Alligator mississippiensis: one gene and its partner. The protein of the gene in region 1 binds, or shares a complex with, the protein of each later gene. Links are inferred from orthologs where the notes say so. Each region holds a gene or a part of one and is shown in the gene's direction. Other genes may lie near its edges. The genes, in order: CLSPN and CHEK1.

What was found.
Region 2: the proteins of CLSPN (region 1) and CHEK1 are in contact, whole or in part, in a crystal structure (PDB 7AKO), measured with the Homo sapiens proteins. The link is inferred for Alligator mississippiensis from reciprocal best matches to the Homo sapiens genes CLSPN and CHEK1. Residues at the interface, in NP_071394.2 of Homo sapiens: Glu938, Leu940, Leu941, Leu943, Cys944, Ser945, Gly946; in NP_001107593.1 of Homo sapiens: Lys53, Lys54, Cys57, Met61, Arg129, Thr153, Val154, Phe155, Arg156, Tyr157, Asn158, Arg160, Glu161, Arg162.

Annotation. Positions count from the first base shown.
Region 1 is NC_081829.1:8,911,891-8,928,634, reverse strand, and holds the start of CLSPN (claspin), read left to right. Parts: upstream 1-9,208; 5' UTR 9,209-9,278; coding exon 9,279-9,299; intron 9,300-10,169; coding exon 10,170-10,305; intron 10,306-12,377; coding exon 12,378-12,844; intron 12,845-13,812; coding exon 13,813-13,980; intron 13,981-14,321; coding exon 14,322-14,411; intron 14,412-14,682; coding exon 14,683-14,755; intron 14,756-15,349; coding exon 15,350-15,458; intron 15,459-16,321; coding exon 16,322-16,744.
Region 2 is NC_081839.1:21,780,818-21,796,856, reverse strand, and holds the start of CHEK1 (serine/threonine-protein kinase Chk1), read left to right. Parts: upstream 1-5,638; 5' UTR 5,639-5,739; coding exon 5,740-5,804; intron 5,805-6,160; coding exon 6,161-6,384; intron 6,385-6,420; exon of another isoform or gene 6,421-6,512; coding exon of another isoform or gene 6,513-6,570; intron 6,571-7,609; coding exon 7,610-7,674; intron 7,675-7,765; coding exon 7,766-7,835; intron 7,836-8,790; coding exon 8,791-8,979; intron 8,980-10,501; coding exon 10,502-10,606; intron 10,607-15,341; coding exon 15,342-15,437; intron 15,438-16,039. UniProt on the Homo sapiens protein: Serine/threonine-protein kinase which is required for checkpoint-mediated cell cycle arrest and activation of DNA repair in response to the presence of DNA damage or unreplicated DNA.

The DNA of each region.
Region 1 (16,744 bases):
ACTATATCTGATGTCCTATCTTACTAACCATGATTCATTATGTGTGATGCTTGCTTAGTTGGTTTGGGATATCGCAGTTTTGATCTCTGCTATTAAAGCAGTTGCTTATTTTGATTTCCAGGAGCAGCGACTTTGCTAACTGTTAACATAACATCGTGCTTTGTTGGCTGAGTAGGAAGGTAATCACTGTTTTGTTGAGGCATCAGAGAACTAAGTCCTATATTGGTGTGCTGTGTAAACACGTAACTAAAGGCTGTACAATTGCTTGTGAGTGCCTCCTTAAATCTAGCGTTCAAAATACACGTGCCTTCATCTTGTTTAATTGACTTTCCTGCATTTCCAGGTTGCTTATTGGTTAGCTTGTGTGACCACCGTTTTCCTTCTTCTAGTGCAAAAATTGGGGAGTAAGGAGGGAGCAGGGTGTAACAACCAGGGATCCTGGTTTTATCTGATATTTAAAAAATTCCAATTTTCGGTTAAAAAATAGTAGCCCCAAATCCACATTTTTCCATGATTAAAATGAAACATCACTATATATATTATATATATCTATATATTAGTGGTGTTTCATTTAAATTGCGGAAAAATATGGATTTGGGGTTACTTTTTTTAACAGAAAATTTGGGATTTTTTTAAGTTGGAGAAAACCAGGATCCCTGGCAATGACGTTACTGCTCTACATGCAGTCCACTGCCTTCTGCTGGGCAGAATTGGATCTGCTCTGCCATGTGTCATAAGCTCGACATTTGCAAACCGACATTTCCTTCTGGGAGCATACTCCTTTCCCAGCTGCCACTGTTCAGTTCCCTTTGGCCAGGAGATGCTACCTACTAACAAATGGGAAGCCTTAATTGGCCACAACAACATTATTTACAGACTTTTTAAGTGTTTCTCTCTAGCTGCGCTTACATCACAATCTTAGCTGCTAAATTGCTCCTTTCTGGTAAAGTCACATCTAAAAATTGTGGATCTGCAGATTTGAGAGACAAATGAAGAAGTTATTGGAATGTGGGCAGGCAATGTTCATTGAGTAGATGTGGTATGTTTTATCAGACCAACTGAGTAGTTGGGGGAAAAAAAAGTTATTTCAAGCTTTTGAGCGCAATCACCCTTCTCCAGGCATAGGGAGTCTCTGCTGGTCTGAGACGCCAAGGAATGTGTTATTGGAATGTGACCATTTGGAGTTAGATTTGGAACAAATCTGGTCATTAAGCAATATTCTTGTCCATGTGAAAGGCCTAGACACGGGGTGTCAAAAAGAAGGCTCACAGACTGTACATGGAGTCACTGTATCCAGGCTGCCAGGCTATAGACAGATCAGCGGGAGTTGGCAAGTGTGGCCAGCGGGGGTTGTCTGCCACAGAGTCTGGGGCTGTTGGGCCCTGGTGGACATGGCAATTAGTGGCAGGATGGCGATTAAAGGCTAAAACAGCCCTTGTTGCCCGCTGGCCACTTCATCTGTCCCCACTGCTGCAGCCCCAGTTCCTTGGCAGCTGGCCCTGTTGCCACTGGCACTACATGACTTGTGCCCCACGTCAGAGGGGGAGACAGCTGTTGCCACCACGTACTCTGTGCTAGAGCCAGAGCTGCCACCCTGGCTTGAAACATGAGTCAGTGGCAATAGCTTCAGCTCCAGCCCAGGGCACGTGGTGAAAGCTGGACCTGCCACATTCATGTGAACCATGCCCTGTGCTTGAGCCAGAGCTGTTGCCACTGCAGCTTTGTGCCAGAGCCAGTGCTCTGGCATGAAATGTGTTAGCAGCAGCAGTTCCAGCTTTGGCAAGGGGTGCATGGCACATGGTGGGAGCTGGAGCCACCACTGCCACATGCACTGGGCAGAAACTGGAATAGATGCCATTGCTGCCACTGCCAGCACCACTGCCTCCCAAGCCACCCCATGCCCTGGGCTGGATCCAGCTCACAAGGAGCCCTACAGTTCAGATCCAGCATGGGCCAGGAGGTGAGTTTGACACCCCTCACCTAGAACAGTAACTGTGGAAAACCCCATCTTTGGCTTCACAGCATTATTGATTCTACATGCTTGTTTTTTGAACGGTACATGGCCAGACAACGTTTCTCTCTCGATTACCTTCTTGACTGTATAAAGTATCATTATGGAATATGGAGGCTCTTGAGACCAGACAAGACAAGCTGCTTTTGGCAGCATGCTCTTAGCTTGCTACGCCAATAAAGAAAGAGCATTACATCTGTTGCAGCTGGATTGAACATGCCTATGGGTCTCAGCTTTGCTCATCTGCTCAAATGTATTGTCAGAGCCACTGGCAAGCTGTGCTTTGCTGGCTTTAATGTTCACTGTAAACGGTGGGAAAAATTTATCACATACATGACTTGATTTTCAGATTAAATATAGGGTTCACTTTAATTGCCTTCTGGTTTTTAAACCTGTCATGTTTGCATTTTCAGTCTCCACCATTGCGACAGCCAGAAGCCTACATTAAAATCTAAAGAAAACTGAGATTCTTATGAAATTACCTGACACCAAGAGGGGGCGGGCTTTAAGGAAAACATTGAATATCACAAGACTGGCAATAAAATTGTGACAGCTGGCAATGGTTTTATGCTTATTATTTAGCATTGGTGTGTTATCCTAAAACAGCGCTATACTTTACAAAGAACAGAGATACAGCTCCAGTCCCAAGGCTTGTATACTTTGCTGGATCCTGCAAAGTATGGTACACTCTGGTCACAGTCCAACAAAGCACTTATATCTGTACCTAACCTAAGCACGAGTCGTTCTAGCAAAGTCAACAAGCTTGTTCCCATGCTAAACTATAAGACTAGGTTCAGGCATCTTGCTGGGCTGATGCCAGAGCGCTCAGGCTCTTTGAAGATTTGGGTCCATAGGCCTAATATGAAAAATGCCTACTCATGTGAGAAAGAGTTGTCAAGGCTGGAGCATAGCTTAGGCATGACATGACACCAAGAAACGGGCATTATGCCGAGAGTGCCTGTTTCAACAGCCGCCCACACATTAGAGCGGCAAGGCAGTTTGTTATTTAAGAGAGTGAATTTTAAAACTAACAATGTATTTTCTTTTAAATTATGAAAGTGTTCAAAATTATTCCTCAACTAGTATTGAAGCAAGTTAGAAATAAGCTTACAGTCTCCTTACAGTGGCCTGTCTACTCATAGTATTAAGAACTGTTACATTTTGGATATAGGATGTTTCTTAGGTACCTGTTGGAATGAACAGAACCTTGCGTTGGCAAGGGCCTCTACCTGGTAGAGGAGTCTGGACAGGGCAAGGTGGGTGAGGATCACCCCACTTTGGTTTGCTGCCATAGGCAGTGAGCTCTGAGCTTCCTGCCCAGTCAGTGTGGGGTCACAGAATGATAGAAAATGAGGGTTGGAGGGGACCCCAAGGGGTCATCTAGTCCAACCCCCTGCTCAAAGCAGGACCAGCCCCAACTAGATCATCCCAGCCAAGGCTTTGTGTAGCTGGGTCTTAAAAACTTTGAAGGATGGAGATTCCACCACCTCTCCGGGTAACCTGTTCCAGTGCTTCACCACTCTTTTAGTGAGAAAGTTTAGGTTGGATATTAAGAAAAGTTGAAAGAGCCTGCTGCAACTTGAGACCGTTGCTCCTTGTTTTTCCATCTGCCACCACTGAGAACGGTCTAGCTCAGGGGTGAGCAATTATTTTGGTTGGTGGGTCACTTGACATGTTTTGGTGAGCTGTTGAAGGCTGTGCACACAAAATCTTTCAGAAGATATTTTAACAAATGATAGATAAAAAACAAATTGTATATTAAAAATTGAACATTTACTATGACATATTTTTATTTAAAAATATTTTTAGTCCTGATTTATGTTTTGTTGAGTGGTATATATAGAGGCAATTGCATAATAGCTCAAAATAGTCTTACTGTTTATATTGTGTGTGTGTGTGTGTGGGAAGTGGGGTGCAAGTGTGTGGGGGGTCTGCCTATGCACTAGGTCCCCAGACCTGGCCAGGGCAGTGGGGAGGGAGGGAGGGAGGAGGGAAAGGGGATGCATGCAGCAGAGCTCACCTAGGCAGTGCAGCGCAGTGCAGGGGCAAGTGCGGTTCACTCCTTCCCTTCGTCCCCATTCAGTCCACGATTGCCCTTCCTGTTCCCACCAGAGTCAGACTGTGCCACGCTCCCACCTGCCCCAGCCCTGGCCAGTGCACACAACTTCCCAGCAGGGCTGCCTTCCACCCACTTGGCCACCCCCAGATGGCTGCTCATCATGCCAGGTGGCTGAGTGGGTGGAAAGCAACCAGGAGTTGGAGCTGGAGCCCCACATGCTGGGGCAGGAGCTGCCCAGCTGCAGCCTCCCCCTGCCTGGCTTGGCATGTGCTGCCTGACATGCCACCTGGTCCTAGAGCAGCATAGCAGGGGAAGGAGGAAGAGCTGCTGGAGGTGCGTGGAGTCGAGTACTACCAGGGCAGCTGCTAAGAAGCTGTGCATACTGGCTGGGGCAGTGCCGTCAGCGGGTGCAGGGTGTGTGCAGGCTGGAGTGCAGTGCGGACTGGTTCCAATGGTGCTTGGCCCCATGAGCAGCTTCACGGCCATATTTTGCCCACCCCTGGTCTAGCTCCATCCTCTTTGTAACCACCCTTCAGGTAGATGAAGACTGTTATTACTCCCCTCCCACCCCCCATCTTCTTTTCTCCAGGCTAAATAAGCCCAGTTCCCTCTGCTTCTCAAGAAGTTATTTTCCCCAGCCCCCTAACCCTCCTCTGGGCCCTCTCCATTTGTCCACGTCCTTTCTGTAGTGGGGGACCCAAAACTGGACACAGTACTCCAGATGTGGCCTCACCAGTACCAAATAGAGAGGAACTGTCACTTCCCTTGATCATCTGGCAACACGCTTACTAATGCAGCCCAGTATGCCATTAGCCTTCTTGGCAACAAGGGCACACTGCTGGCTCATATTCAGCTTATTGTCCACTGTAACCCCCAGGTCCTTTTCTGCAGAGCTGCTACTTAGTCAGCGGTCCCCAGCCTGTCCCAGAGCTCTGTATGATCCAGATATTCTGGGGACGATGTGGCTGGAATTTGTGCTTTCAGGTGGCTCTGGACTCCAGAGGGTGGATGCTGCGGTTTTTCTGCCTTCTCCTCCTATCAGAAAATGAATTCAGAGCAGGGGAAAGGAGGGGACAAGCATGGAACTGTTCACCCCTGATTCCAGAGCAGTGTGAAAATAGGGTCTTTGGGCAGACACCATTCTGAGAGCTCACATGCAACATGTGCAAAGGGGGATGCAACCATGTTGTTGCACCCCCTCTGGATCCACCTCTGCATCTAACACAGGGGTGGGCAAAATGCAGCCCGTGGGTCAGATGTGGCCCACCAGGTTTTTCTATCCCACCTACAGGGCCCCTAAAAATTGAGAAACTGAGTATTTATCTGCCCCTGGCTGCCTGTCATGCGGCCCTCGATGGCTTGCCAAAACTCAGTAAGCGTCCCTCTGCCTGAAATAATTGCCCGACCCTGATCTAACAGCTCATCTGCTCCATTCTTTTATTTTCAAATACACTTCACATTTTAGGTTTCTTCCACGATGGTATGAGCTTTCAGACTGAGCAGCTAAGTGCCCTTTCCTTTTCCACCCCATGACCTTTTTTAAAATCTAAAACAAAAAGTTTTGGCTGGCTAGCGATTGCTATTTTGTATCTTCCCTTGTTGCTGTTTAAGACCCAATCCCATTGTATGCATCGTTTTCACAACAAGCTTGTTGTGACTCCCAGGCTCTTTCAACATACCAAAGCAGCTCTATGTTTGACTGTAAATGGACTTCAGCATTTGTTAACATGTTTCTTTTGGCAGTGTCTATCCAGAAAAATCCCAGACTCCCAGGAATCTGTGATCTGCAGTGTCGCCTCCCTTAATCTGTGTTGCCATCTAGCAGTTGAAGAGTTTAGTAGCAACAGAAGCCAAACTGTCATGTATCAAGGATAATAGCAGCAGGCAAAGCGTTCCGCTTGGCTCGGTCCCTTCTATATAGGCAGCCCTGAAACATGAGGTTGAGTAGAAAAGGGACAGACTGACTTTCCTGCAAGCACCAGCAGGTCTATTTTTCTTCCCTGTTTGTATTTACACAGCATGCCAAAAGAACTCAAAGTCCTTTATTAATTCACAGACTTGCTTGCCCTCTTTTTCAAAAGCACTTTAAAGTCTACAGATGAAAAATGCTACACAGTAAAGGAGCTGAGTATCATTACTCATTATTCCATCTGACACTAAAATACAGCGACTGCTGGTTCCCCATTTCTCCCTGGAACACTTATTTAGCCTTGCATTACTTGGTAAACAACATCTTCAAGATACTTTGCTCACTGGAGGTTTTTCTAACGCCAGGATCTAGCTTCTCCATTCCTGCAGAGTCACAATGCCGCTCCAGGAAATTATAACTGCACTGTGAGGTCTGAGCGACTCTGTGAACCATTGCTTTCTCTGTAGAATAAAGCTATTTCATTTAAATACAAGTTAAAAAAATGCGATGCAAAGTTTTAGATTAATGGTGCACCTTCCCCCACCAGCTCAGCATGATGTGCTCAACACCTTGTTTGGCTCTGTGGTGGCTTTATGATGCAGAACAACATGTAGCAAGAGCGAGGAAGGCAGCAGACATCCCCGCAGGAGAAGTACCATTTTATTTTAATATTCTGTAAAATTTTATGCGTTTGTGTTAAGCCACAGTGGAGTCAAAACTGCAGGCCTGGTAGCCCCTGCTGAGGCAACAAAGGCTGCCAAGTTTCAAGGAGACAGGTGCAGGGGGTTTAGAGAAACTGCACCCCAAAATCCTGAAAGCAAAACTTGTGTCACACGTATGTGTTAAGCCACAGCAGGGTCAAAACTGTGGACATGCTAGCCCCTGCGGAGGCCACAAAGCCTGCTAAGTTTCAAGGAGATAGGTGTAGGGTTTTGGGGAAACTTCACCTCAAGCTACTGACAGGCAAAACTCGTGACATGGGTGACACTGTGTGTGTTAAGGCGCAGCAGGATGAAAGCTGCAGGGATGGTGGCCCCTGCTGTGGCCACGATGCCTGCCAGCTGTCAAGGAGATTGGTGCAGGGGCTTCTGGGTTCTGAGGCCCTGCACCTCTGGCCACAGGCAGGCAAAACTCATGACATGGGTGCTCGTGCAACTGTGTCTGTCTTTGGAGGAGGGGGAACCACTGCAGGCCTGGCTGCTAGGCCCTGCTGCGGCCACAAAGCCTGCCAGCTGTCAAGGAGATCGGTACAGGGGGGTTCTGGGGCCCTGCACCCCTAGCTGCTGACAGGCAAAACTCGTGACATGGGTGCTTGTGCAACTGCTGCCGCTCATCAGGCAGCAGGACTGAAGATCCCCCCATCACTTGTCACCAAGACCCGGGGGTAATAATTGACCATAGTATGAACATGAGCCAGCAGTATGCTGCTGTAGCCAGCAGGGCCAACAGTATGCCGGCATGCATCAATTGATGCATCTCCAGCAAAACCATTGCAAAGAAGTGATTCTCCTGCTCTACTTGGCTCTTCTCAGCACTGGTGAGATCACAGCTGGAGGACTGTGTCCAGCTCTGGGCTTCACACCTTAACAAGGACATGGTAAAGCTTGAGAGAGTCCAGAAAAGGGCCACTCACATGATCAGAGACTTGCACGGCAAGCCACACAAGAAAGGCTGAGGGACCTGGGACTCTTCAGGCTGAAAAAGAAGGCTCAGAGGGGACTTGGTAACAGCTTACCGCAACGTCAGAAGTGTACATCTAGGGCTCGGTGAACAAACTAGGAGTAATGGTCACAAACTCCTGGAAGATAGTTACAGGCTCAACATTAGGAAAAACTACTTCACAACTAGGGTGTCCAGACTGACCATTACTCCTAGTTTTCCCCAAGGGTGCCCTGGTGAACAGTTGTTCACTGAGCCCTAGATGTACGCCCCAGAAGCCATGACCCCTGCACTGATCTCCTTGACAGCTGGCAGGCTTCATGGCCGCAGCAGGGGCTACCACCCCTGCAGCTTTCACCCTGCTGTGCTTTAACACACACAGTGACACCCGTGTCACGAGTTTTGCTTATTCGCAGCTTGAGGTGCAGTTTCCCCCAAAGCCCTGCACCTATCTCCTTGAAAGCCGGCAGGCTTGGTGGCCTCAGTAAGAGCTACCACCCTTGCAGTTTTCACCCCGCTGTGGCTTAACACGTACATGTGACACAAGTTTGGTTCTCAAGACTTTGGGGTGCAGTTTCTCTGACCCCCTGCACCTATCTTCTTGAAACTTGGCACACTTCACACCCTCAGAAGGGGCTACCATTCCTGCAAGTTTCATCCAAATCAGGCCAGAAATGACAAAGTTATAGCCTGTTTCAACCTTCCCTATTATCGCCTCATTTTATTTCGAGGCTGTTTCGACCATATCCATTCCGTTTCGATTTTGCTAGCGTTGAAACAAAACCGGTGGTGAAATGTCGCGCAGCCCTACGTAAATCCATTTTGACTCGGGCAGCGAGACTACACTCGATCCGAGCCCACAAGCGGCCGAGCAGAAGCACCATGACAGCGGGGGGCTCAGTTTAATCTCCAACCCAGTGGCTTGAACAGCCTCTGGGTCCCCCGGTGACCCAGCTCCTCTCCAAGGTGTCCTGCGGCACCCGCAACACGACGTTGATCCGAGCAAGTTCAGGCTCTGTCGGGCGGCGCGGATGAAACACCAGCTACGACAGCAGGATGAATGTCCAGCTCCAGCAGGACGTGGCAGGCTTGGTCTCCGGCCTTGCTTTGAGTACGAGGCACAGCATGCGCCAGTCAAATGCAGCGCAATGCAAACAAATATTTTATCAGGTCATTTGCTCAGGTCAAGTTAGGGCACTTGTACAGGGCACTCTGGGAATGCCCCCCACAAGGGGCACAGCCTGGCAGGTCTCCCTGGGCCCTGCTCCAGGCCAGTCCCAGCTGCTCCCCTGCAGAACGACCCTGCCAATGCCTAGGGCCAAGATCATAGAGTCCCCAGCTAGAGCGGCCCGCGCTGGGGACCGCTGTCTCCACAGAGCAGACGAAAGCCAACAGCGGGAGAGGATTGGCGGCGGCGCGGAGACATCCTGTTAAGACGGAACTCGTATTGGGCAGCTGAGAGGAGGGGGCGGGGTTTACCGAGCTAACGGCCCAATGAGGCGATCTGAGGGGGCGGGGCCTCAAGGGAGGAGCGAGCGGTGATTGGCTCCGGCTGGGAGGCGGGATCAGCCCCAGGCAGAGCGCGAAGAATCGAAGCGGCTTTCCTGGCGGGCGGCGGGACAGCGGGGTCGAGCAGCGCCATGGCGGCGGCAGCGCCTGAGGTAGGCCTGCTTTGCTCCGCCGGCTGGTAGTGGGAGTCGCCGCCCGCCCCGCGGGCCCCTCCCGGGAGGCCGTCTCGGGACGCGAAGCAGCCGCTGCGGCTCGTAACTCCCGCGCCCTGAAGAGGACTACGTTTCCCAACATGCGCCTCGGTGCTGCCCCAGTGCATGCTGGGAGCGCTCTCCGCGGGGCATGCTGGGAAGCATCCCTGGTTGGGCACTGCCCTGGGGCTACCTGGTGCCCTTGGTTGTACTTGAGTGGGCTCACCTGTGCTGGATGGGGCCAGGGAGGTGGGATGCTGATCTCTCCAGTACCCTGCCCTTTTCCCCTTGCGCAGAGCAATGAAGAACGTTTTGTTACTCAACTGCGAGGATGCTGCTTTTTGTGAAGTTTCGTAAAGTATTTTTCTGGCACGTGAAAGTTGCGAGTTTCTGGCTAGTTTCAAGCTGTGGCCACCAGACAGTGTCCAGGACAATACTTGTTTTTTGCTTTGATACGAACTAAGAATTTCACAAGGGAACTGTACAGTAGTGGAAATGACATAGCATATAGTAATTTTTGTTTGAATGTCTGAAACCCAAATCAATCTTATGACTATAGTATCAACGAGTAATTGATGGCCATGAGGGTGGTCAGACATCGGAACAGGCTACCTAGAGAAGTGGGAGCCCCATCCCTGGATACTTTCAAGAGCAGGTTGGGCAAACCTTGGCTGGGATTGTTTAGCCAGGGATGATTGTGGCTGGACTAGATGACCTTGGGAGGTCCTTGCTTTCCCATGACTATAATTTGGGATGACACTGAGGTCAATGAACTATTTGAATTTAAATAGCTCATGCTGTATGAAAATAAACTTTCTTCTTGGCTTTTAGCTTTGCTTAGGTGTAGAGGAGCTAAAACCTGACTTGCAGAAAGCTTATGACGGCGATTCTGACAGCGGACAGGGCAGCTGTGAAACAAGTTCTCCAGGACATTCCAACAAGGAAGTTGCGTCTCTTGATGACAGAGGTCTGTAATACAAAGAGATCTCTATGGCTAGATGTGAGGTTTTTCTCTTCCCCCTAAATATTGGGATTGTTCTTTGTACTTTATAGTTTTACCTTTGCGGAAGGTTGAGAGAACATGGTCCTGTACTTTATGTTAGAAGTAATGTTTCTTTTGAAACTGTTCACCAGGGCACCCCAAAGAAAGGCAAGGTCTAATGGTTACAAAGTGCTGGAAGACCGTTTTAGACTGGACATAAGGAAAAACTTCTTTATCGTCCGAGTATCCAGAGTCTGGAATAGACTCCCCCAGAAGTGGTGCAAGCACCTACTCTGGATACCTTTAAGAAACGCTTGGATGCCTATCTTGCTGGGGTGATCTGACCCCAGCACCTTGGGCAGGGGGCCAGACCCAATGATCTCGCGAGGTCCCTTCCAGCCCCAATGTCTATGAAATATTTTCCATGCTATCTGTATGAATTATTTTTTCCTTGTTGGGTTATAAAGATGTGGCATATGTAATGGTTGACATATTTCACTGTCAAGAGTATGTAATGCACACTTATCTCTGGCATTAACAGAAGTCACTATTCATGCATGAATCCAGACTTTTAATTCTGAAATATTTATTAATTTAACTTCAGGACAGTTATTACAAATTATACAGTCAAATGCAGTTTTCTAGCTATTACATGAGAAGATATCTTGCAGCCACCATTTGCAGTCTGACATTGCATTGTGCTTACCGGTTCATTGAAAATGAACCACAGCTATGTACGATATAGCTTGAGAGAGCCACACCAACTGTATACGAACCATCACAATGCATTAACATATACAGATACATATGGTTTGAATTCAGAGTGCCTTTGTTGTTCAGGATGTGGGTAGAGATCTGTAAATGGTAAAAAGGTGGTAGTTGTGGTTGAGAAAGGGAAATGGGGATGGGGTTTTGAATATCTTAATTGCTTTATTTCCTTGCCTTTTATGAGTTGCATAGTTAACCCAGGTGAATCTGACTCCTTTAACTTGTGTGTGTGTGTGTGTGTGTATTTTGGTGAGAGGGGAGTTAGTTCTAAGTTTATGAAGTTCTAGTCTGGCTGAATTGAAACGCTTCTGGGACGGGGAAACAAGAATATAGAGCTTGTACCTTGAGAGCAGAATTTGTCTGTAGACATACCATTAACAAGTTCTAAATTTCCTGATGCCCCCTTGAATACCCTGAGCACAGTAGATATCTGTGATCATGCTTTTTACAATTTTCACTTTTGGATAAAAGTTATAGTGTAGATTAATCATGGTTTAAAGTTAGAGCTCAGTGCTGTTTCCCTTTTCTTGTGTGCTTGGATGGGGAAGTGACAGGATAAAATGGGATCCTGAAAATACATTGTGTTGCGTGTCAACATATGAAGTAGTAGGATGAATCAGTTTCCTCCTGATCTTAAACCTGAATTTTGTAAACCATAATATGCCTAAAATTTTCATGCCAGCCTCATTAGTAGCTTTAAGTATGGGGCTGCAGGGCTTTTACATAGAAAACATAAGCTAAAATTACATTTAAGTAATTCTATTTTCTGTCACTGAAATGCAGTTAAGGTTGCTGCTACACTGCAGCGGATTGTTCTCCCTGTACTTTTTTGGCATTTTGGACTCGAAGTCAAATAGAAGAAGATCAAGAAGTGCTCCATTAAGGTTTTTCTATATATCCTGAAAAAGAACATTTGTGTTGCGGGAAAAAAGATAAAGGAAATCATGCATTTACAAAGAGCAGTTAGAATAGGAATGCATGTTGTTATTTAACTATCATATAGTAGAAAAAGCAGTTTTCACATTGGCTTTTATTGAACCGCTCTGTATAGAACAGCATGAATGTTTGCAGGATTGGGACCATGGCATGTCCATTATAGTTTTCTTTCAGTATGTTACTATTTGCTTTGGTTACGTAAGAGACAGGCTACATAAAACACAGGAATGTCACTAATTAGTTTGGGAATGGAGAACAGTGTCTGGCATAGTATGTCATTTGGTAACGGACCTATGAATTTTTATAAACAATCTGTGATCTATGGTATAAAGAATGCTCTATGTTTCTACCAGATTCAGAGGAAGAGATTTTTGTAAGTAAAAAATCTAAAAGCAAACAGGTGCTTCAGGACAGTGAGAGTGAAGGGGAAGAGAGAGGCTGCTCCCTTGAGAAGACGGACACTGTAGCTGAAGATGTTAAGAGCGGGGAGGAAAAAGAGCATCTTATTGCCCGAAAGAACAAAAAACATCGGATTCGCCAGGCTCTGCTGGACAGTGACGAGAGTGATATTGGTGACACATTAGATCACAAAAACCTTGAAATAGATGAGCAGTCTGATGCGACTCAGAATGAGCTGGATTTGGGTTCACAGGTGGCGACTTTGCCAACATCTCCGAAACAATACAAAAAACACAAAAGTAATTTTGAGGGTGAAACGGGCAAAAAAGCAATGGGGAAATCGAGGAGGAGGAGGATGGAAAAAGAAAAAAAAATGGAGGCTATTAGAGAACTGAAGAAAGAAAAGAAACGGAAACAAAAGGTATAAATGTTTGGAGAAACATTTGATATTTTTAGTCCGGTTAAATACAGTTGAAGCATTTGGTGATGGTAATTAAAAACCTCTAATGAAATTTGTGTACTCACAACCCACTAGCAGTTTGGACTTCCACAAGAGTCTACAGACAGGATACCACCAACCTAATTGGCATTTTAAAGTATCAGTCCTTAAGGTGGGCTTGCCAATCTAGAGGCAGCCCAACACATAGCTGGGATGATAATGGTTCAGCTTGTTTCAAAACATGAATTGTTTTAGTTCCTGATACAACAGGGCTTGTGGCCTTGGCTTGATGTAAGGTATGAAATCTATCAAACCCATTCATCTGTGGAGCCAAGCTACTATCATGCCATCCTTGGAAAGAGGATGTGGGTTGTGCTTGACATCAGAGCCCTGTTCTCACTGAGCATCTGGTAGGAGGTGTTGGTAAGCCTCCCCTGGGCATAAGCCAACTCATGACTGCTAGGTTACAAGTACAAATTTATCCATGGGCCTGTTGTTGACAATTTAGGGATTTTTTTTCCCATTCCAAGGCATTAGGCATCTGTTTCCACCAAACTGATCATAGCTGCCTTCCATAGCAATCAAATGATTATGCTGTAACAAGTAATGGCAGCAAATTAACACTTAAGAAATGCTGTTTTGTGGGCAAATATTGTTAACTATGCACAATTGTCAAATCTATGGTCTGTGCAGGACTCTATGAGCCCTGGTGAGTTTTACATAATTCTTTTCCTGTCTCTCCTGATTGCAGAAGTTGAGAACCTGCATTGGCCTAATTTTGTAATATAAAGACTTGACTACAGAATTTATTTGAAAGTTACTTATTTTTTTGTCTGAATGATGGGATGGGATTTTTATCAATTATCCTGAAATTGTAAAGATGTCTTTCAAATATTTGTAAGTGAGCTTCTGAAGTAATAATGTTTTTAAATGTTGCTTTTTTTACTCAGCAGGAAGATAATGGTGAGAAAAATTCTATTAATGATAGTGGGTGTCTTCTTGCTGACAAAGAACTCTTTGATAATGATTTAGAGGAAGAAAATGATTCCCATCCTGAAGATGAAGAGTCACTAGAATCAATAAGAGCTGCAGTGAAAGGCAAAGTGAAAAAACATAAGGTAACTTAATTTATTCTTGTACCTTAGCGCATATATCAATCTTTTGTTGACACTGATGCCATTCCACTTCTACATGAAGAAAATAGCCCCTAATGTCTTGTTTCTAGGGGTGTAGGAACAGAAATGCCTTCTTTAAGCACTAATGTCATAGGAGGTGCCAAAAAGAATATTGTTGTGGAGGCAGTTGAAGAATTTGCAGTATAATGTTTATATCTGTTTCTGAAAATGCTTGCAGATGGAAATTCACAACGATGATACAGAAAATCATTGCACAACATTATTGCATTTTGCTTTTGACAGCTCCTCGCTATGCAGTGAAATTAATCAATCCATTTTTATAGGGTAAGAATTTGTTTTCTGAAGATCAAAATTACAAACATGTATTTGATGATGAGAATGAGGAACCCACATTGAAAAGAGCTAAGAGAAAGGTAAAATATTTCTTTAGGCTTCTTAGTTCCTTTTAATTCTCACTAGTCCATAATACTAATTTTATGTGAAGGTGTTACTTGGTGCTCAAGAACGGAATCAGTGTGATGAGCATATTTTAAAGATTTATTTCTGTTTTCTTGTGTTTCCCTGCTGCTTAAAAAGTGTGTGTGTGGGGAGGGGGGAACCTTTTGAAAAACTTTTTCAAAAACATTGTTTTGAACTTGTAGAACTACGCCTATATTCAGTCCTGTGTTTTCTTCTCTCTCTCAGGAGCGGAAGGCAGCAAGGTTAAGTAAAGAAGCCATGAAACAACTGCATAGTGAGAGCCAGAGACTTGTAAGAGGTAAAACCTGAACCACTTGTGTTAAATGTAAGATGAAATTTCCTTAGGAAGGCAACAGAAAAGGAGTGTCAATCAAAGCAGTGGACTTTGTTCTTGCTTGATATGTGGTATTCAGAATTTAAATTAGATAAGCTGCAAAGCTGTTTCTCCTGAGATTATATCAAAATACGCATTTCACTGCAAGCATGATTTCTTTCTGGAAACTACAACTTGTCTTTAAACAACTTTGGAAGTCTCTCTTGGAGACTTCTTTTTAAAGTTTAAATCTGGACTAGAAGTAACTGACTTCATGTGTATTGGGCACTTAGTTATACCAAGTAATTAGAATGGGTCTTGTTCTTCTGTTACTGGTAGCTCAGTCCACTTTATTCTGAGTTCTTGGGTATGTTGCAGGCCTTATTCTTCAGGGCAGTTTGTGGGTGTTTGGATAGAGGTCCAACAGCTACATGTTTTATATATTGGAGTTAAGCTCTGCTCTTCATGTCTAGCTGGATCTCTTAGTTGCAAAATACTTGTGCCAGGCTCATCTGAATATTTGAGAAAATGCCTGCCGCTTCAGTACGTGACTAAAATGACTCTTATTTCCTTTGGTAGAATCATGTCTGTCGCTCCCATATTATGTGCCTGAAACCAAAACCATACATGAGTTCTTCAAGCGTAGACCTAGACCAGCTTGTCAGGGAAATGCTATGGCATTGCTGAAGTAAGGAACTCTTCTGTCTCATGTTGTCTTGTATGTCCGGTTCTTGATTTGCTTAAGTAATTTACTTCGTATGTAGTTTCTGTTTCAGTTTATAATCATGTATTGCTATCGGGGCACCTGCAGCAACTACTTTCATGCAAAATTAGGGATTTCCTTGATATTCCTTGAGTATCATTTTAATGTAGTGTAATAGCTGAAAAATAAGAAGTGATTCACAGACCAGAAGTCTGGGATGTGGGGATTAGCAGTGGTCTGAAGACCATAGTTTGAGAGCCAAAGTTCGAAGTGGCTGATCTGCTAGTTTTGTATATAATGACAGAATATTTCCCCTAACTGGGTTTATTTGCTACATAATCTATAAAGAAGTAAAACTTGAAAGCAATGTGCTGTCATTAGTCCAGTCTGAATTTTTTGTGAAGGTATCCCATGCTGTCCTTCAAATCCAAATTTATAGCTATGGTTTAAAACTCATTGCCCTATGCAAAGTCAAATTTTATTTGAGAAGGTTTTTAATAATGCTGTGTACTTAAACCTTGTTCAAAATATAATACCTTTTTTCCCTTTAAATAAACCTAGAACAAAAGAATCATGTATTAATTATTAAATAACTAAAGACTGGGCATTTAAAATCTTCATGTCCTGCTTCCCGCAACCACTCTAACTGGCATTGTAGAAACGACCTAGTTTTTTCATGTAACTAAGTGCAGCATTATACGCAGACATAGAAATTACCACTGTTCCTTTCTCTTGTTTGGTTTAGTCTTTTCCCCCCTCATCCTTCCCCTACCCTCCCATCTCATGCCAGTCAAGCTAAGGATGAGAAAGTGTATGTTGGGTTACGACTCGCTTTCTGCTCTTTATAGGTCTACTAAGTATCAACCCTGCCTAAATGAAGAAAGTGCAGACACTGAGACCTCAAGTGTGAATATCAAAGACACTTGGACAGAGGCTGGTCAAGCAACAGCTAGGGAGCTGGAAACAGGACTCGATGAGAATATTGACACCTTTGCGGATAAACCCTCCACAGATGTGGAGGAGAATCTGAGAGAAGATTGTAATGAAAAGCACAGGCAGGATGGTGCCTTGGATACTCTTAAGAGCCTAACAACTGCTGTTAATTCAGAAGAGCAGGTTTCTGACTTGCAGAGTAGTCAATGTAGGGAGCAAATGGAGAGTGAACTTTCCTTGGCATCTGAAGCAAGTGCCCTTGAACAAAGAGAGGACCAGCTGCAAAAAACAGGTGTAGAATGTGACAAGCCTGTTCAACAGGTGGCTTCAGTAGTAAT
Region 2 (16,039 bases), on another chromosome or scaffold:
CCCTCAGGTGTCAAAACCACACGTCTTTCTTTCCCAAGCATGACCTGGAAACTCGCTGAGTGCGGAAAAGCTCAAGTTGAACTCACTCTGAGCCTGAGCATAGAATCATAAAATGAGGGTTGGAAGGGACCTCAGGAGATCATCTAGTCCAACCCCTTGCTTAAAGCAGGCCCAGCCCCAACTAGATCATTCCAGCCAAAGCTTTGTCAAGTTGGGTCTTAAAAATCTCTAAGGGTGGAGATTCCACCATCTTTAGGTAACCTGTTCCACTGTTTCACCATCCTCCTAGAGAGAGTTTTTCCTAATATCCAACTTAAGCTTCCCTTGGTGCAACTTGAGACCATTGCTCCTTGTTCTGTTATCTGCCGCCATTGAGAACAGTCCAGCTCCATCCTCATCCTCTTCTCTGCTGCAGGTTAAATAAGCCCAGTTCCTTCAGGCTCTTCTCACAAGTCATGTGCCTAGCCCCCTAGCCATTTTCATTGCCCTCCACTGGACTTTCCAACTTGTCCACCTCCTTTCTGTAGCGGAGGGCTCAAAACTGGACACAGTACTCCAGATGTGGCCTCACCAGTGCAGAATAGACCAGAATAATTACTTTCCTCAATCTGCTGGCAACACTCTTACTAATGCAGCCTAGTATGCTGTTAGCCTTCTTGGTAACAAGGGTACACTGCTGACTCGTATTCAACTTATTGTCTGCTATAACCCCCAGGTCCTTTTTTGCAGGGCTGCAGCTTAGCTAGTTGGACCCAAGTCTGTAGTGGTTCATAGGAGCCTTCTGTCCTAAGTGCAGGACTTTGCACTTGTCCTTGTTGAACCTCCTGAAATTTCTTTTGGCCTGCTTCTCCAATTTGTCTAGGTCACTGAATCCTAGCCCTCCTCTCCAGCATATCTACTGTAGCCCTTAGCTTGGTGTCATCTGTGAACTTGCTGATGTTGCAATCCATCCCAACTTCCAGATCATTAATGAAGATATTGATCAAAACTGACCCCAGGACTGACCCCTGGAGTACTCCACTTGATGCCAACTATACATCGAGCCATTGATTGCTACCTGTTGAGCCTAATGGTCCAGCTAGCTTTCTACCCACTTGACACTTTTCATCCAACCCATGCTTCCTTGACTTGTTTTTCAAGAATGCTGTGGGAGACTGTATCAAAATCCTTGCTAAAGTCAAGGTATATCATGTCCACTGCTTTCCCTGCATCCACAGAGCCACTCATCTCATAGAAGGCATTCAGGTTGGTCAGACTTGACTTGCCCTTGGTGAATCCATGTTGATTGTTTCTGATTACTTTTTTCTCCTCTAAGTGCTTAAAAATGGATTCCTTGAGGCCTTTCTCCATGATTTTTCTGGGGACTGAAGTAAGGCTGACTGGTCTGTAGTTCCCTGGATCCTGCTTCTTCCCCTTCTTAAAGATGGGCACTCTATCTGCCAATCGTTTGGGACCTCCCCCGATCGTCACAAATTTTCAAAGATAATGGCCAGCAGCTCTGTAAACATATCAGCCAACTCCCTCAGCACTCTCAGATGTATTGCATTCAGCCCCATGAGCTTGTACGCATCTGTTTTTTCTAAATAGGTCCTAACCCATTCTTTCACCACTGGGGGCTGCTCACCTGCACCCCAAACTGTGCTGCCTGATGCAGTAGTCTGGGAGCTGACCTTACCTGTGAAGACTTGAGGAAAAAAGGGATTGAGCACTTCAGCCTTATATCATATGTCACTAGGTTACCTCCCCTATTCAGTAAGCGACCCACATGTTCCATGACCTCCCTCTTGTTGCTAACGTGCTTGTAGAAACCCTTTTTGTTACCCTTCCTGTCCCTTGTTAGCTGCAACTCCAACTGTGCTTTGGCCTTCCTGATTTTATCCCTACAAGCCCAAGCAACACTTGTACTCCTTCCTAGTCATCTGTCCAAGCTTCCACTTCTTGTAAGCTTCCTTTTTGTGTTTAGGCTCACTGAAGAGTTGCCTGCTAAGCCAAGCTGGTCGCCTGCCATATTTGCTATTCTTCCTGCAGTTCGGGGTGGTTTGTTCCTGTGCTCTCGGTGAGGTTTTCATTACAATACAACCAGCTCTCCTGGACTCCTTTCCCCCCTCAGACTGCCCCCCCCCCCCCCCCCCCCCCCATAGGATCCTGCCCATCAGTTCCCTGAGGGAGTCAAAGTCTGCTTTGAAGTCCAGGGTCCATACTCTGCTGTTCTTCCGAGCCCTCCTCTCCTTCCTTTTGTCAGGATCCTGAACTTGATTATCTTGTGGTCACCGCTGCCCAAGTTGCCATCCACTTCTGCATCCCCCACCAATTCTTCCCTGTTTGTGAGCAGCTGGTCAAAAAGATCATGGCTCTTGGTTGGTCTCTCCAACACTCGTACCAAGAAGTTGTCTCCAAAAACTTCCTGGATTACTGATGCCCTGCCATATTGCCCTCCTAGTTCCCCATGAGAACCAGGGCCTATGATCTGGAAACTTCTGCTAGTTGTCCAAAGAAAGCCTCATTTATTTCATCCTCCTGATCTGGTCATCAAAAACTTAGGGAACTGAAGTCCACTCCATGACTGGGTAGACAGGGTTCTTTAAGACTGGTTGACAGTCAGTCTAGGACTGGAGCCTCGATTGAACAAATGGACGATCTCTGTTCCAGCAGCTCCTGCGGCCCAGCTGGTTCCAAACATACTGCCGCCTGCCTCTCCTTTAGCGTAAACCAGCAAGGCTGGGAGGAGAGGGGGACGCTAGTGTGTGGACAGCTCAGTGTCTCCATATACACCGCCCAGGCTTGTGCACCTTGGAGAGATCACTTCAGCTTCACTTTATCTTAGCTTATGCAGGGGGTCGGACTCGATGATCTATTGAGGTCCCTTCCGACCCTAACATCTATGAATCTATGAATCTTTCAACCACATATTACTTTCAGCAACCTAATGTCTTGGCATAATTCTATTGTCTTGTGAGATTGGCTAATAGTTCCAAATGAATAACTTCACACGTTCACAGTGAAAAGAGATGGCAGGTGCTTATCCAAAAATCCTTATATGGGCCTATATTTCTGCCTGAGAAGACTGTTGCATGTTTAATAAGAAAAATGGATGAAAAACCATACTGTAATTCTTAATGTGGTTTAAACCCAAACCAAGTTGTCAAATAATGCCATTATGTCCCCATTCTTTCAAATAGGTTCCATGCTCATAGTGATATGTATTAAAAATTCATATTTCTATGCATGTGTATCCCTGATTAAGTTCTGTATGTTTGACTAAAGTAATGTTCCATAGTGAAAACTGTCATTTCACTTCGTCTGCCTACCCTCATTAGTAAGCAGAGGGTATAACTGTCTGAAGGGCTACTTGAGAAACAGGGCCTCCAGGGTGGGTCTCCCTACCCAGAATTTACTACTAAACCGGTACACGTGGTATAGCTCCTGGATGGCAGCCCTGGGTGAGATCCCTTCCCACGTCACTGGGCCAGGTAGTAGTTCCCCAGGTTGGTTTACTGCTAAGATTGTGATCAATTTTGAGGTACAGTTAAAGGTTAATAGTTAACATTTTGCTTAGGGTGTCCCCTTGTTCCCTTTTTCCCTTGTAATAAATCTGTTTTAATTTAACATTTGCTTGCAAATGGGCAGGTTTTGTTCATGGTAGAACACCCAGTACACATTTACTTTACCAAATTTCTGGGTTGGGGCTTGAGGTAAATTTGAAAAGTTGGTATAAAACCCCTATATTTGTATGCAGCCATTCTTACTGCTGTCTAGCACCTGGCGAAACAGCAATGTGCAGGCCTTACAGGGTGGGTATCAATTGGCAGGCTGGTACTCAAAAACCAAGCTTCAAGTTCAAGCAATGACCTGCCTAGGCTTCTTTAAGAGAGTCCCTTGGTGGTGGTGATGTGGGTTTTGGGGTGATCTAAAGTGGGTTTTGCCCCATAACTCCAGCCCAAAATAAGATATTTGTATAAAGCAATGTACCTAGCATGCAGGTACTGGCAGGTGGGTGGCAGGTGGGAGGCTGGCACTCAAACCAAACATTGGGTCGAGCATGGACTAGCTCAAGCTTCTTCTAGAGAGTCTCTGGGTGGTGAAGAGGAGTGTTTTGGGGTGCTCCAAAAAAGATTTTGCCCTATAATCCCAGCCCAAAGTCAGCTTCTTATTCACAGGAACATACATAGCACACAAATCTGGGAGGCTGTCGGTTGGCAAGCTGGTGCGCAAAAACTGAGCTGTGGGTCAGGTAGTGCTCTGCCCAGGCTTCTTCAGGGGAGTCCGCTGGTGACAGACGTGTGTTCTTGGGTGACGGGGAGAGGATTTTACCTGATATCCCCAGCCCAAATTCAGTTTCATATTCAGGGCTAGGTACAGAGGACATGGGCTTGGGGCCTCAGTTGTCAGGTTAGCACTTGCAAACTGAGCCTTGGGTCGGGCAGGCTCTACCCAGGCTTCTTCAGGAGAGTCCCCTTGAAGGCAGAGACATTTGTCTGGGGTGACTCAGAGAGGTTTTCCATCAGTAATCCCAGCCCAAACCTAGCTCCTTATTCAGGCCTGGGGGCCTGTCTAGGCAGCCTGGCACACAGAAACCAAGCTTCGGGGTGGGTAGGACTCTGCCCAGGCTCCTTGGGAGAGACCTCCTAGGGTGGGGACGTGTGTTGGGGGTGATCCAAGAAGGATTTCCACCCATTATCCTAGCCCAAACCCAGTTCCTAATTGAGGCCTGTGAGTGGGCAGCTTGGCCTGCAGAAACCCAGCTTCGGGCCGGGCAGCGCCCTGCTCAGAGCTGTCCCCTGGTGCCATAGGCGTGTTTTGTGGTGGCCCGAAAGGGATTTGCCACAGCCTAATTTCAGGGCTATGTACTTGATGCATGATATTATTTTACAGTTTTATTAGCAACTATCCATTGATGAAGTCCTGATTCTTCAGTCAGCATCATTCATGACTAACAACCTTGAACAGTGTAAGGATTCGCTTTGAAATGGGACCTGGGAACAAGTAGGGCTGCCAACTCTGCTTGAACCTATTCCGAGAGGTTTCTGGGCCGCCGCCATGCCCGCGACATGCGCCGCCCCGCATGCTGCTGTACATCGGTTACGGATGACGGCACGTGGACTTCACCTCAGGAAGGCAAACGCACCTTACTATTACGTTTTAAAAAGCCACCGGACCGCGAAGAGCGCGCGCCTTCGGAGGCTGGGAGGTGGCAGCGGTGTCGGGGGCGGTGAGTGGGGACTGCCTACGGTGTGTCAGTGTCCAGGGGCCCGTGAGCTGCCAACCTCAGGGGGCACGTGCCCCCCCCACGCGTTGCCTATGCAGTGGCCGACGGTAGAAACAGGATTTCACATGTAATATTCATTTTAATGGAGGCCCATCCCTAGGTCTCCGGGTGGCTTTCAGCGCTCTGCCGGGCACGGGTTTCTAGCTCCTGCAGACCCCGGGGTAATCCTGCAGGTTTGGCGACGCCCGAAATAAGGAACCGGCTTCGCTTCCCGCCAGCCCGGGGAGATGGAAGGGGGCGGGACCCGGCCGGGGGCGGGGCGGGGCGATGGAAGGGGCGTGGCCCTGGCCGGCCGGGGGGCGGGGCGGACGGAAGGATGCGGCGGCGGGCGCCGCCATTGGGCGGGAATCGCGGAGCGGGCGCTCGGGGTGGGGGCGGGGCTGTGCTGCGCTCCTCTCGCCGTACCGTGCCGTGCCGTGCCGGGCGGGTTGGTCTGGTCCGGTCCGGTCCGGGTCCGGGCGCCGCCGGCCGCCATGGCCGTGCCCTTCGTGGAGGACTGGGACCTGGTGCAGACGCTGGGCGAGGGCGCCTACGGAGAGTGAGCGCGGGGGCGCGCGGGCAGAGGCCGGTGTCCAGCGGGAAGCGGGCGCTGTCAGGAAGGAAGACATGAGGCGGGGCGGGGCGGGGAGCGCGGGCGGCCGGCGGTGGCTCTGCGCCGCTGACGGTGGCGGAGACAGACCCCTTGGGCTGAGGTGGGGTGTAGCCGGTCCGACCCCGCGGCCGTGTGTGTGTGTGTGGGTGTGGGTGTGGGTTCCGGCCGGGCGCTGCGCGGGGACCGTGTGTGTGTGTGTGTGTGTGTGTGTGTGTGTGGGGGGGGGTTGTGGTTCCTGCCGGGCGGGGAGGGGGGCCTGCTCGAGTTGAGGCTCATGAGGGATGTTTCTCGTTTCCCTGCAGGGTTCAGCTGGCCGTCAACAGGCGCACGGAGGAAGCCGTTGCCGTCAAAATAGTTGATATGAAACGTGCTGCCGACTGTCCAGAAAACATCAAGAAAGAAATTTGTATTAATAAGATGCTCAATCATGAAAACATCGTGAAGTTCTACGGGCACCGGCGAGAAGGCCACGTCCAGTACCTCTTCCTCGAGTACTGTCGAGGGGGGGAGCTCTTCGACAGAATAGGTAGAGCACATCGAGCGGCTTCCCGCGCCGCCCGCACGCGCCGATCTGCCTTCCCGCGCCCCCCAGCTTGCCACGCGCGGGGTGTTTAGCTGGTGTGTCCTCCTGGCAACATGTAGATCCTGCTTAGCATGAGTTTGTGCGCCTCAAGGAAGTCTCCATCGAAATTGGCAAGAATTTCTGTACACGGTTAAGTTCACATCTGTCAATTATTGCTTAATCCCACTAGAAGTTCAGCGTCATGGTTTTTCACGGGGAGAGATAATTTAAACAAGTAAACTATGCCGACTTGAGAAATTCACTCAGCTGGGATTAATAAGGCCAGTGTTTCCAGTTTCTATATATTCTGATATTTCATTTCAAAGGAAAAAAACCTAGTCCTTATGGTTGCAAAAGTCAGTCTTCTGAAAATAAACAGGGTGAAGTGAGATACAGACGTCAAGAAAATATGCTCGTATGTTAGACTTCTAGTGCCTTTGCTGCAGCTCTTGGCTTTCCACCGAACCGATGTGTCAGTCTTAATTATTACTATTTGCGTTCTAATGAGCAGCAGTAGAGCCAGAAGGAAATTGGTTTCATTCTACTGTTGGAAAGATCTGAGCAACAGTTAGGTACCAGAAATGTCGATAGTTTTTGCACAGGATAGTTTTGCGTAAGCAGAACCTGGCGACTTGTTTAGGCAGTGGTCATCAGCAACCTTTAGGCTGCAGGCTGGAGTGACCCAGTTCGGGTCAGAGGTGGGTGTAGGGGCAGCTGAAGCCACCTGCTGCTGAATCCTGCTGAAGCTTCATCGTCCTGGGCTGTCTCAGATGGCTCTGTGAGCCACAGATGCTCACCCCTGCTTGTAGATGTTGGGGGCAATATCTTGCATTAGCCAAAAGGATGGCGATATGGAGGCTTGCTTCTAAGGTTAATGGGAGCTGCCTTATTGCTTGTCTGCCCTTGGACAAGAGGTCATCCAGCTCTTGTATAGGTCTCTTGATAACTCTGCCAATTAGTTTAGTGTTAAAGCTTCTGTGCCCTTTGTGGAAGGAGGAGGAGGGAGATGAATTTGGGGGTTGAAAGCTTCTGAGGGGGGAAAGAGACGATATGGAAAGGAACAAACAAATATATTAGAGGACAGAAACATTGGCAAGATACTCTTTTCCCTATCATGTTTGTTTGTGATGCTAGAAGTGTGTGGATCTTTTTTTTTTTTGTTAAGTGGATTCTGAATGACTTTTTTCAGAGCCTGATGTAGGAATGCCTGAATCAGATGCACAGAAGTTTTTCCATCAGCTTATTGCTGGGGTGGTAAGTATTTGCCTTCTACATTTATTTAAAACTTTCATTTGGGATCATATAAATCATAAGATTCAAGATTCTCTCTCTCTTTCTTTTTAAGGTGTATCTCCATGGTATAGGTATAACCCACAGAGATATTAAGCCTGAGAATCTATTGCTAGATGACAGAGGTACGTCTAGAGCTAGTTATTTTGTTTTCCCTTTAAATTTTGGTGGTTAGGTGTACAAGGGAAGAAGAAAGTCTGTGTCTGTTGGTGAAACTGAAAACACTTCAAGCTTTCTGAGGATGCTGCAGGCTTAAGAGCAATCTAGTTGAGCAAAAGTTGATTCATGCTTCCAGGACTTGCATTCATTCCCCTGCCCACATGCAAATTTGGTAAACCTGTCTAGGTGTTCTGGAGCAGAGGCTGGTCTCTGCAGAGATGCCGGCACCTTTTCAAAGAACATTCCTATGGAAAAATGATACCTTCTTGAAAAGCTGTTTCTACAGAATTTGAGGAGTGATAGAAATGCTTCTAGGACCTTTGGGTAAAGCTTTTATTAAAACTTTTTAAAACAAAAATATTTCTTGTAGGGTCCTAGAACCAAAATATTACAGTATGGATCTAGGATCTGAGAAACTGGAATAGACTAATGATGTGGATCCTTCCTCTGCTTTGCCAGAACATTGTGTGATCAGGTTACAGTGGAAAGAAAAAATAGCTTTCCACAATTTTAATTTTAATAATCGAAGATGACATTGGGGTGGGGGAACGGACTTTTAAAAACAGCCGTCTTTCCTGGCTGTTCCTTCTAAAACAAGAAATCTCTGCGTAAACTGTTAGTATTTTTTCCTTATAACACAGCTGTGTCTGGATCAAGTGTTTTGTTTCAGGCTTCAGGTCATTTGTTCAAATTTCCTGTGGTCTATAACCAAAAAAATGAATATATCTGATCTTTATTTATATCAAGGTCCCTCTTTGCTTATCTGGCAAAATGGTGGCTTGAAGTAGATGCAAGTGGGCTCTTTAGTTTAATTTTTCTAGTTGAAATTAGTTTTAATATGTTAGACACCACTAACAAAGAAGGTGGAAAAATACCTTGCTGCTTGGTGTACTTAACTGTTGTGTGCTTCTTTTTGCTTAGATAACCTCAAAATCTCCGACTTTGGCTTGGCTACTGTGTTTAAACACAACGGTCGTGAACGATTGTTAAACAAGATGTGTGGCACTCTCCCATATGTTGCCCCAGAACTGCTAAAAAGAAAAGAATTCCATGCAGAACCAGTTGACATTTGGTCCTGTGGGATAGTACTTACTGCTATGTTGGCAGGAGGTAGGAATCGGTCATTTTCTTATCACTGTGCAACTTGTCTTCTAATGTGCATGTTTACAGCAGCTTCACAGTGCAGTAGGATTGCAGAACAAACACTTGTCATCTGCACAGATGACAGAATTAGTCCCATTCCACAGAGAAGAAGGTGGCATTTGGGAAGCAGTATGTTAGTTTTCCCTAAACTTCCATATTATAGTAAACTATTCATTATATTCTCTTATTTCCTGTAGAATCATTTTGTTTTCCTGTCTCTCTCTTGTTCTTGGTCACATGAGAGAGTACTGTTAAGGAGCTAAAAAGATGAAAACAAACCAGCTTTCCTAAGGCCACTGAAGCTGATTATTCCTCTATTTATTTATTTTTCTTGTTGCTGTCCATATCTTTGCTTTGGGTCTGTGGTTTTTGTAAATATTGTCTTTCATTGCACATAAAGCTAATTAGAATGTGTTTGCAGGTTTGCCAAAGTAATACTTGACAGATGCTTTGTCTCCACGTGGTATGAAAGAGAGGTGTGCTTAGTTTAACTGGTCCTAATGAACTCGGGACATGGGGAGGGGTATCAGTCAGTTTGTTTGTCGAGGTGTGCAATGTCCCACCATGGTCTTGAATAGGGAGCAGATTTTTATGGTGCCTAAATGTCAGTAGCAAATTCAGTAGCTACAGAGCCCAGGGGGCCCTCATTGGTTTCAAAAAAGAAAAAGGGTAGGGGTTTCTGTCTAGAACTTTTCTATAAGGTATTGTGGGATCTTTAAGAAGATCTATGGGTGAAATCGGCTTCATGCAATCTGTGATGCACTCTTGCCCTGGAGGATGGCATCCAATTCAGTAGTGGTCCTCCTGAGGGATCCTCCAGCTTGGTGATCTTTAACCAGGGTGCTACAAGATCCTTTTAAGCATGTAGAAGTTCATGCAATATTAGCACTGATATATGTAAATCACAAGACAATGCAGAGATTTCAAATAAAAATCCACAGTGTCAAAACCGTTCCATCCTTTTGTCTTCCCAAGTTCTTTACCACAGGAAAATTGCTCTATTATTTTTCCACACTTAAAATGAGTGCAAACTAAGAGCTGGCATTTTTCTAAGGGGTGCCTTGTATCTAAGGTGGTAGAGAATCACTGTATTAGCCAAAAGCTTGCTGTGTTTCACTAGCACATATCACAAAGGGGATTATAGCTCTTAGCCTTTGGGCTTATTTGGTTACGTTGCTATGTGAATTTTCCTGTGTTGCCACTGACTTGCCAATTGATGAGGTCGGATATGTTTTTAAATGGATGCCATTGTATATGTAACTATTTTGAGCAAGGGGCTGATGACTTCACAGAAGGGTCACGGGATCTCAATCTGTAACTGCATTCAGGGTAGTTTCATCTCTTCCCTTCCTTGCAAATTAATGTCCATTTATTTTAAGATCAATTTTCTTTGAAAATCCTTCCCTAGCTCTCCTAACATTTTGATTTAGAGTTATGTTCATAGGCCTATTTTTAAAAAAAAGGCATATTATGCCTTCTTTACTTGCAGAATTGCCATGGGACCAGCCTAGTAACAGTTGCCAAGAATATTGTGATTGGAAGGAAAAGAAAACATACCTTCCCCCCTGGAAGAAGATTGATTCTGTACCATTAGGTAAGTCAGCTGACTGAGTTAATGCATTTTGTTTGCATACAACAGTAGCGAGTTTAGCAGGGGAAGAAGTGTTGGCATTGTGTGATTTATATTCCAGAAAACATTCTGGCTATTCTTCCAGACATAGCCCATCTTCTCACAAGCCAGATTCTGTCACAGACTCAGAGTCTCACAGGATTAAGTCCTGGGATACCGAGTGGGTTTTGTACACACTTGTGGAGGGGTCTAGAGATGAGGTAAGATTCAACAGTAGTGTTACCTTAAGACCAAGATAATTTAGCAGTCTCTCTCCTTACTCTCTAGTAGTCATAGCAATAGGAACAAACCCACTGAAGATTAGGAACCTGATTCTCTACTGCTGGAACTCTGTGCAGTTGCTTCCTTGTGCAAAATAGGTATAAGTTGTGATAACTTCACAATCATAGGATTGGAGGGACCTCAGGGACCAATATGGTAGTCCAACCCCTTGCAGAGATGCAGAAAATGCTCTTTCTAACCTACCCCATCCAGATGCCTTTTTAGCCCCTTTTTGCAAACCTTCAATGACAAGAGTTTTCATAGCTTCCCTGGGTAGCTTCATCTATTGACCTGCTGATCTAGTAGTATTTCATATCGCGCATGCAGATGACCAGACCATTGTATAGTAGTAGGGAATTGGGGTCTAGTATCTATGTGACTGTAATAATTTCCAAAGGGATACAGAATCAAATCTAAATAGGGCTGAAAGGATCCTTACTAAGTCATCTAGTCTAGCATCCTGCTCCAGGCAAGATCATTTCTAATCCAGCCTAGAGAAATGATTGTTTGACTTGTATTTAAGAATTTCCAGTAAATGGAGATTTCACAACCTCCCTATGGGCTCTGAGTTTAAAAAGTGCTTCCTAATCTTACCTTAATCTCCCTTCTTACAATTTTAGCCTTATGCTGCTTGTTCCAATTGGATGTGGAGAGTAATTGATTGCCAACCTTTTAACTATCCTTTTTGTTTTTGAAGAATGTAAGTGAATCCTACCCCACTTCAGTCATGTTTTTAGGCTAAATTCCAGTCCTTATATCAGATTTCATAGATTTCATAGATGTTAGGGCTGGAAGGGACCTTGGAAGATCAAGTCCAGTCCCCCGCCCGAAGGGCAGGAAGTCAGCTGGGGTCATAGGATCTCAGCAAGATAAGCATCCAATTTACTTTTGAAGGTGTTCAATGTAGGTGCTTGAACCACCTCTGATGGCAGGCTATTCCAGACCTTGGGGGCTCGGACAGTAAAGAAATTCTTCCTTATGTCCTGCCTGAAACGGTCTTGCAGTAGTTTATAACCGTTCGACCTCATCATCCCTGGGGGCGCTCTGGTGAACAAACATTCCCCCAGATACTGGTGGTCACCCCTGATAAACTTATAGGTGGCCACCAGATCACCCCTGAGCCTGCACTTTTCCAGGCTAAAGAGCCCCATAGCTCTTAGCCTGTCGTCGTCAGGTCTGTTTTCCTGACCTTTGATCACATGCATGGCTTTTCTCTGGACTCTCTCAAGCTTCTCCACATCCTTTTTGAATTGTGGAGCCCAAAACTGGATGCAGTACTCCAGCTGCAGCCTCACCAAGGCCAAGCACAACGGGACAATGATGTGCCGGGATCTGCTTGAGAAGCATCTATGGATGCAAGCCAGCGTTTTGGTCGCTTTACTAGCCACAGCATCGCATTGCAGGCTCATGTTCATCTTGTGGTCGATGATGACCCCCAAGTTTCTTTCTTCCGTTGTACTAGCCAGCGTAGCACTGCCGAGCCTATAAGGGTGCTGCAGGTTTTTCCTCCCAAGGTGGAGAACCTTGCATTTTTTGGTGTTAAACACCATCAGGTTCTCGTCTGCCCACTTGCTGAGCCTGTCCAGGTCAGCCTGGATCGCCCTCCTGTCCTCAGGTGTGGATGCTTTGCCCCAAAGTTTGGTGTCATTGGCGAACTTGGCCAGTCCACTTCTGACTCCAATGTCCACATCATTAATGAAGAAGTTGAACAATATGGGTCCAAGGTCAGAGCCTTGGGGGACCCCACTGGTCACAGGGCACAACAATGATTGACTTCCATCAATCACCACCCTCTGGATCCGACCACGGAGCCAATTTCCCAGCCAGTGGATTGTGGTGGACCCAAGGCCACAATTGGCCAGTTTCGCCAAGAGGTGATCATGGGATACCAGATCGAAGGCTTTTTTGAAGTCAAGATATATGACATCAATCTCTTCTCCCTTCTCCAGGTGATAGGTCACCTGGTTGTAGAAGGAAATGAGATTGGTCAAGCAAGACCTACCCGCAACAAACCTGTGCTGGCTATCCCTCAGGATGTTGGTGTCGGCCAGTCCATTAAGGATGGCCTCTTTAATAAACTTTTCTAAGATCTTCCCTGAGAAAGAAGTCAGGCTGATGGGCTTATAGTTTGCCGGATCCGCTTTCCTCCCTTTCCTGAAGATAGGCACCACATTGGCCTTCTTCCAGTCTTTGGGCACTACACCAGAGCACCAGGAGTTCTCAAAGATCTGTGCCAGAGGCTGGGCTATGATGCTTGCCAGCTCCTTGAGTACCCTGGGGTGTAGCTTGTCAGGGCCAGCTGACTTGAAGGTATCCAGCCTCTCAAGGTGTTCCTTTACGAGGTCGGCATTGATGGAGGGCAAGGGATCTCCCTCACCCGGACCTCCCTGTCCCGTAGTGGGCTTGGGTATCCCATGGGACTGATGAAAGACCGATGCAAAGTACCCATTTAATAGGTTGACTTTATCCTGGGCGTCAGTTGTCCCATCTGGTTCAGCAGGGGTCCAATGTTGCCCTTGTTTTTCCTTTGGCTCCCCACATATCTGAAAAAGAACTTTTTATTTTACTTGATGCTCGAGGCTAGTTGGAGTTTAGTTGCAGCCTTGGCTTTCCTGGTTTGCTCCCTGCAGGACCGGACCAGTGCACAATATTCCTCCTTGGAGGTAAATCCCATCCTTTGTAGGCCTTACTTTTTAGCCTCAGGAGGTCTGCTAGATCGCTAGAGAGCCGGGGGGCTGCTGTGCCCTTTTGCTGCCTTTCCTCCAAGATGGAATAGAATTAGCTTGTGCATTGAGGGATTGCTCCCTTGAGGAGCAACCACTCTTCCTGGACTCCCCTCACCCTGGGGTTGTGGTCCCTTAATGCTTCACTGACAAGCCTCCTGAGCTTGTCAAAGTCGGCTTTCCTGAAGTCAAGGACGTCAGTGTTGCTGACTAACTTGCCAGCTTTACGGTGGATGGTGAAGGTGATCAGCTCGTGGTCGCTGTCACCCAGCTTCCCATCAGAAGGTCGCCGATTAGGTCATCCCCAGTAGCACTCGCCACCCCTCCCGCTGACAACAGCGCTGGCAGTGTCTGTGGGAGCTCCTGCTTGCTGTCTAGACTGGATTAGAAATGATCTTGCCTTGAGCAGGATGCTAGACTAGATGACTTACTAAGCAAAGTCCTGTCTATGAAGATATCTGAAAGTAGGCTGCTTTTTAAAAGTAATAATCTTGAGGCAATTTGGTCTCAGTTCCTCATAATTAGTCCCCATTTCTGCTTGCCATGTTTCTGGATCCTGGAAAGTCTGAGGGCTAATAGTCTGTGTGTCCTGAAACCTCAGTCTGAGATTTGTTTGTTTGCTTTCTCACCTCAAATCTCCCCAAATCATTTTTACAAGTATGCAGGCCTACAGGAATCTGCTAGGCTCCCTTCATAAACCCGTGTTGTACTTGAGGTTTTGCTTGCTGGTCGCAGTCTGACTGAAAAATGGATTGGCATGTGCCCACCCACAGATAAAGCTAAAAGTAATTAAAAAAAAACCCAAAAAACAACAACAACCCTGGTTTTGAATTTGGGTTAAGCCAGGGATTTCAAACTGGCAACCTCCAACCGCATGTAAACTGCTAGGTGTTATGCTGTATTTTAGTCCACAGGGCTTCTGGCTCAGCTCTAGAATCCATGGGGTGAATGCTGCTGCTGCAGCTCATGCTACACCCCTGTGCCTGCCATCAAATTTGGGGTCTTCAGTAGCTGCTAGTGGCTCAAATTGGTGGCACAGGGAAAAGGCAGGTGAGTGGCAGCTATGAAAAACTTGTGACCCTGGTGGCTGGTGGGGACACAGTGCCAGTAAGCGGGAGCTCCCACAGACACTGCCAGCGCTGTTGGCAGCAGGAGGGGTGGTGAGTGCCGACTGAGGGTCGGCGACCACCTACAGCTGCCGCCAACAGTATTGGCAGTGGCCAGCAGGGATCGTGGACCATCTTCAGATGCTGTCGGCAGTGGGGTGGCAAGTGGTGACTGCCCGCAGTTGGTGCCTTTTTGTAGGGGGTGCACCGCCACACTCGGGGGGTGCACATGCACCTGCGTGCACCCCCTATGCATTGCTCCTGGTGGCATCAGCATTTACCCAGTGTTCCAGAGCTGTGCCAGCCCAATAGGTCCTACAGCTGTGTTGAGAAGCCACTGCCAAAGCTGATTTTTCTGGCCTACTTAAAGACCCGTGTTCTGGATCCAGCCTGCAAGGCCAAGTAACTTGGACAGCTGTGTGTTAGAATGTTTATGATGTTCAAGTGATCAAAATCGTTTAGGTTCGAGTTGATTCATGGACCAGATTTGGGGGATGGAACTAGAAGTAACAATTCCATCGTTATGCAATAGAATGGCCTGAGGAAAATGTAGTTTGCTTGTCAGAAAGCTGCCTTCTACCATGGCTAATCTATCATTTCTATATCCAGCTTTGCTTCACAAAATCCTGATAGAGAACCCTACAGCAAGGATAACCATTTCAGACATCAAAAAGGACAGATGGTACACCAGGCCTTTGAAGAAAGGTAAATGTCTCTAAGTGTTTTATACAACAAGTTGTGGAATTATAGGTAAACAGCATAAAGAAATTAAGGTTGGGAGTACACATTAGGGTACAAATCCTTGCAGAGCTAGCAGAAAAGCTACCAATGGCAGGAAATTCAAGATAGATTTAAACTCGGCCATTCTATATGCTGGTGGCATATTTGATTTTAAAACCATATATGTATGTTTCTGGTAACCAAGTGTGATATTTTTGTCATAGTAGTGTTATAGTGAGGTTGTAACAATGATTGTCTAGGAATTATGTGCAAGGCAAGGATTTCATAGAGTGCCATTTCTTATTGGACCAACTGCATAGTTGAAATAGAGTTAGAAAAAGCTTTCGAATGTAAGACGTTCTTTAAACACAAGGTCATCACATTAACTGTGGGCACTTCTTTAATGTCATGGTCTGGCCCAAGGAGCTTGCATCCATGAGCCTGTTAGCTCTGTCTAATGACACTCAATTGGCTGATGTCCTCAGTCATGAGGTAGGATGCCAAATGCCATCAGCACTTACGTGCTCTTAAGCAGAATGGGAAATTGTTGCTTTCTGAATATATTTTATTTGCTCAGGAACTTGCAA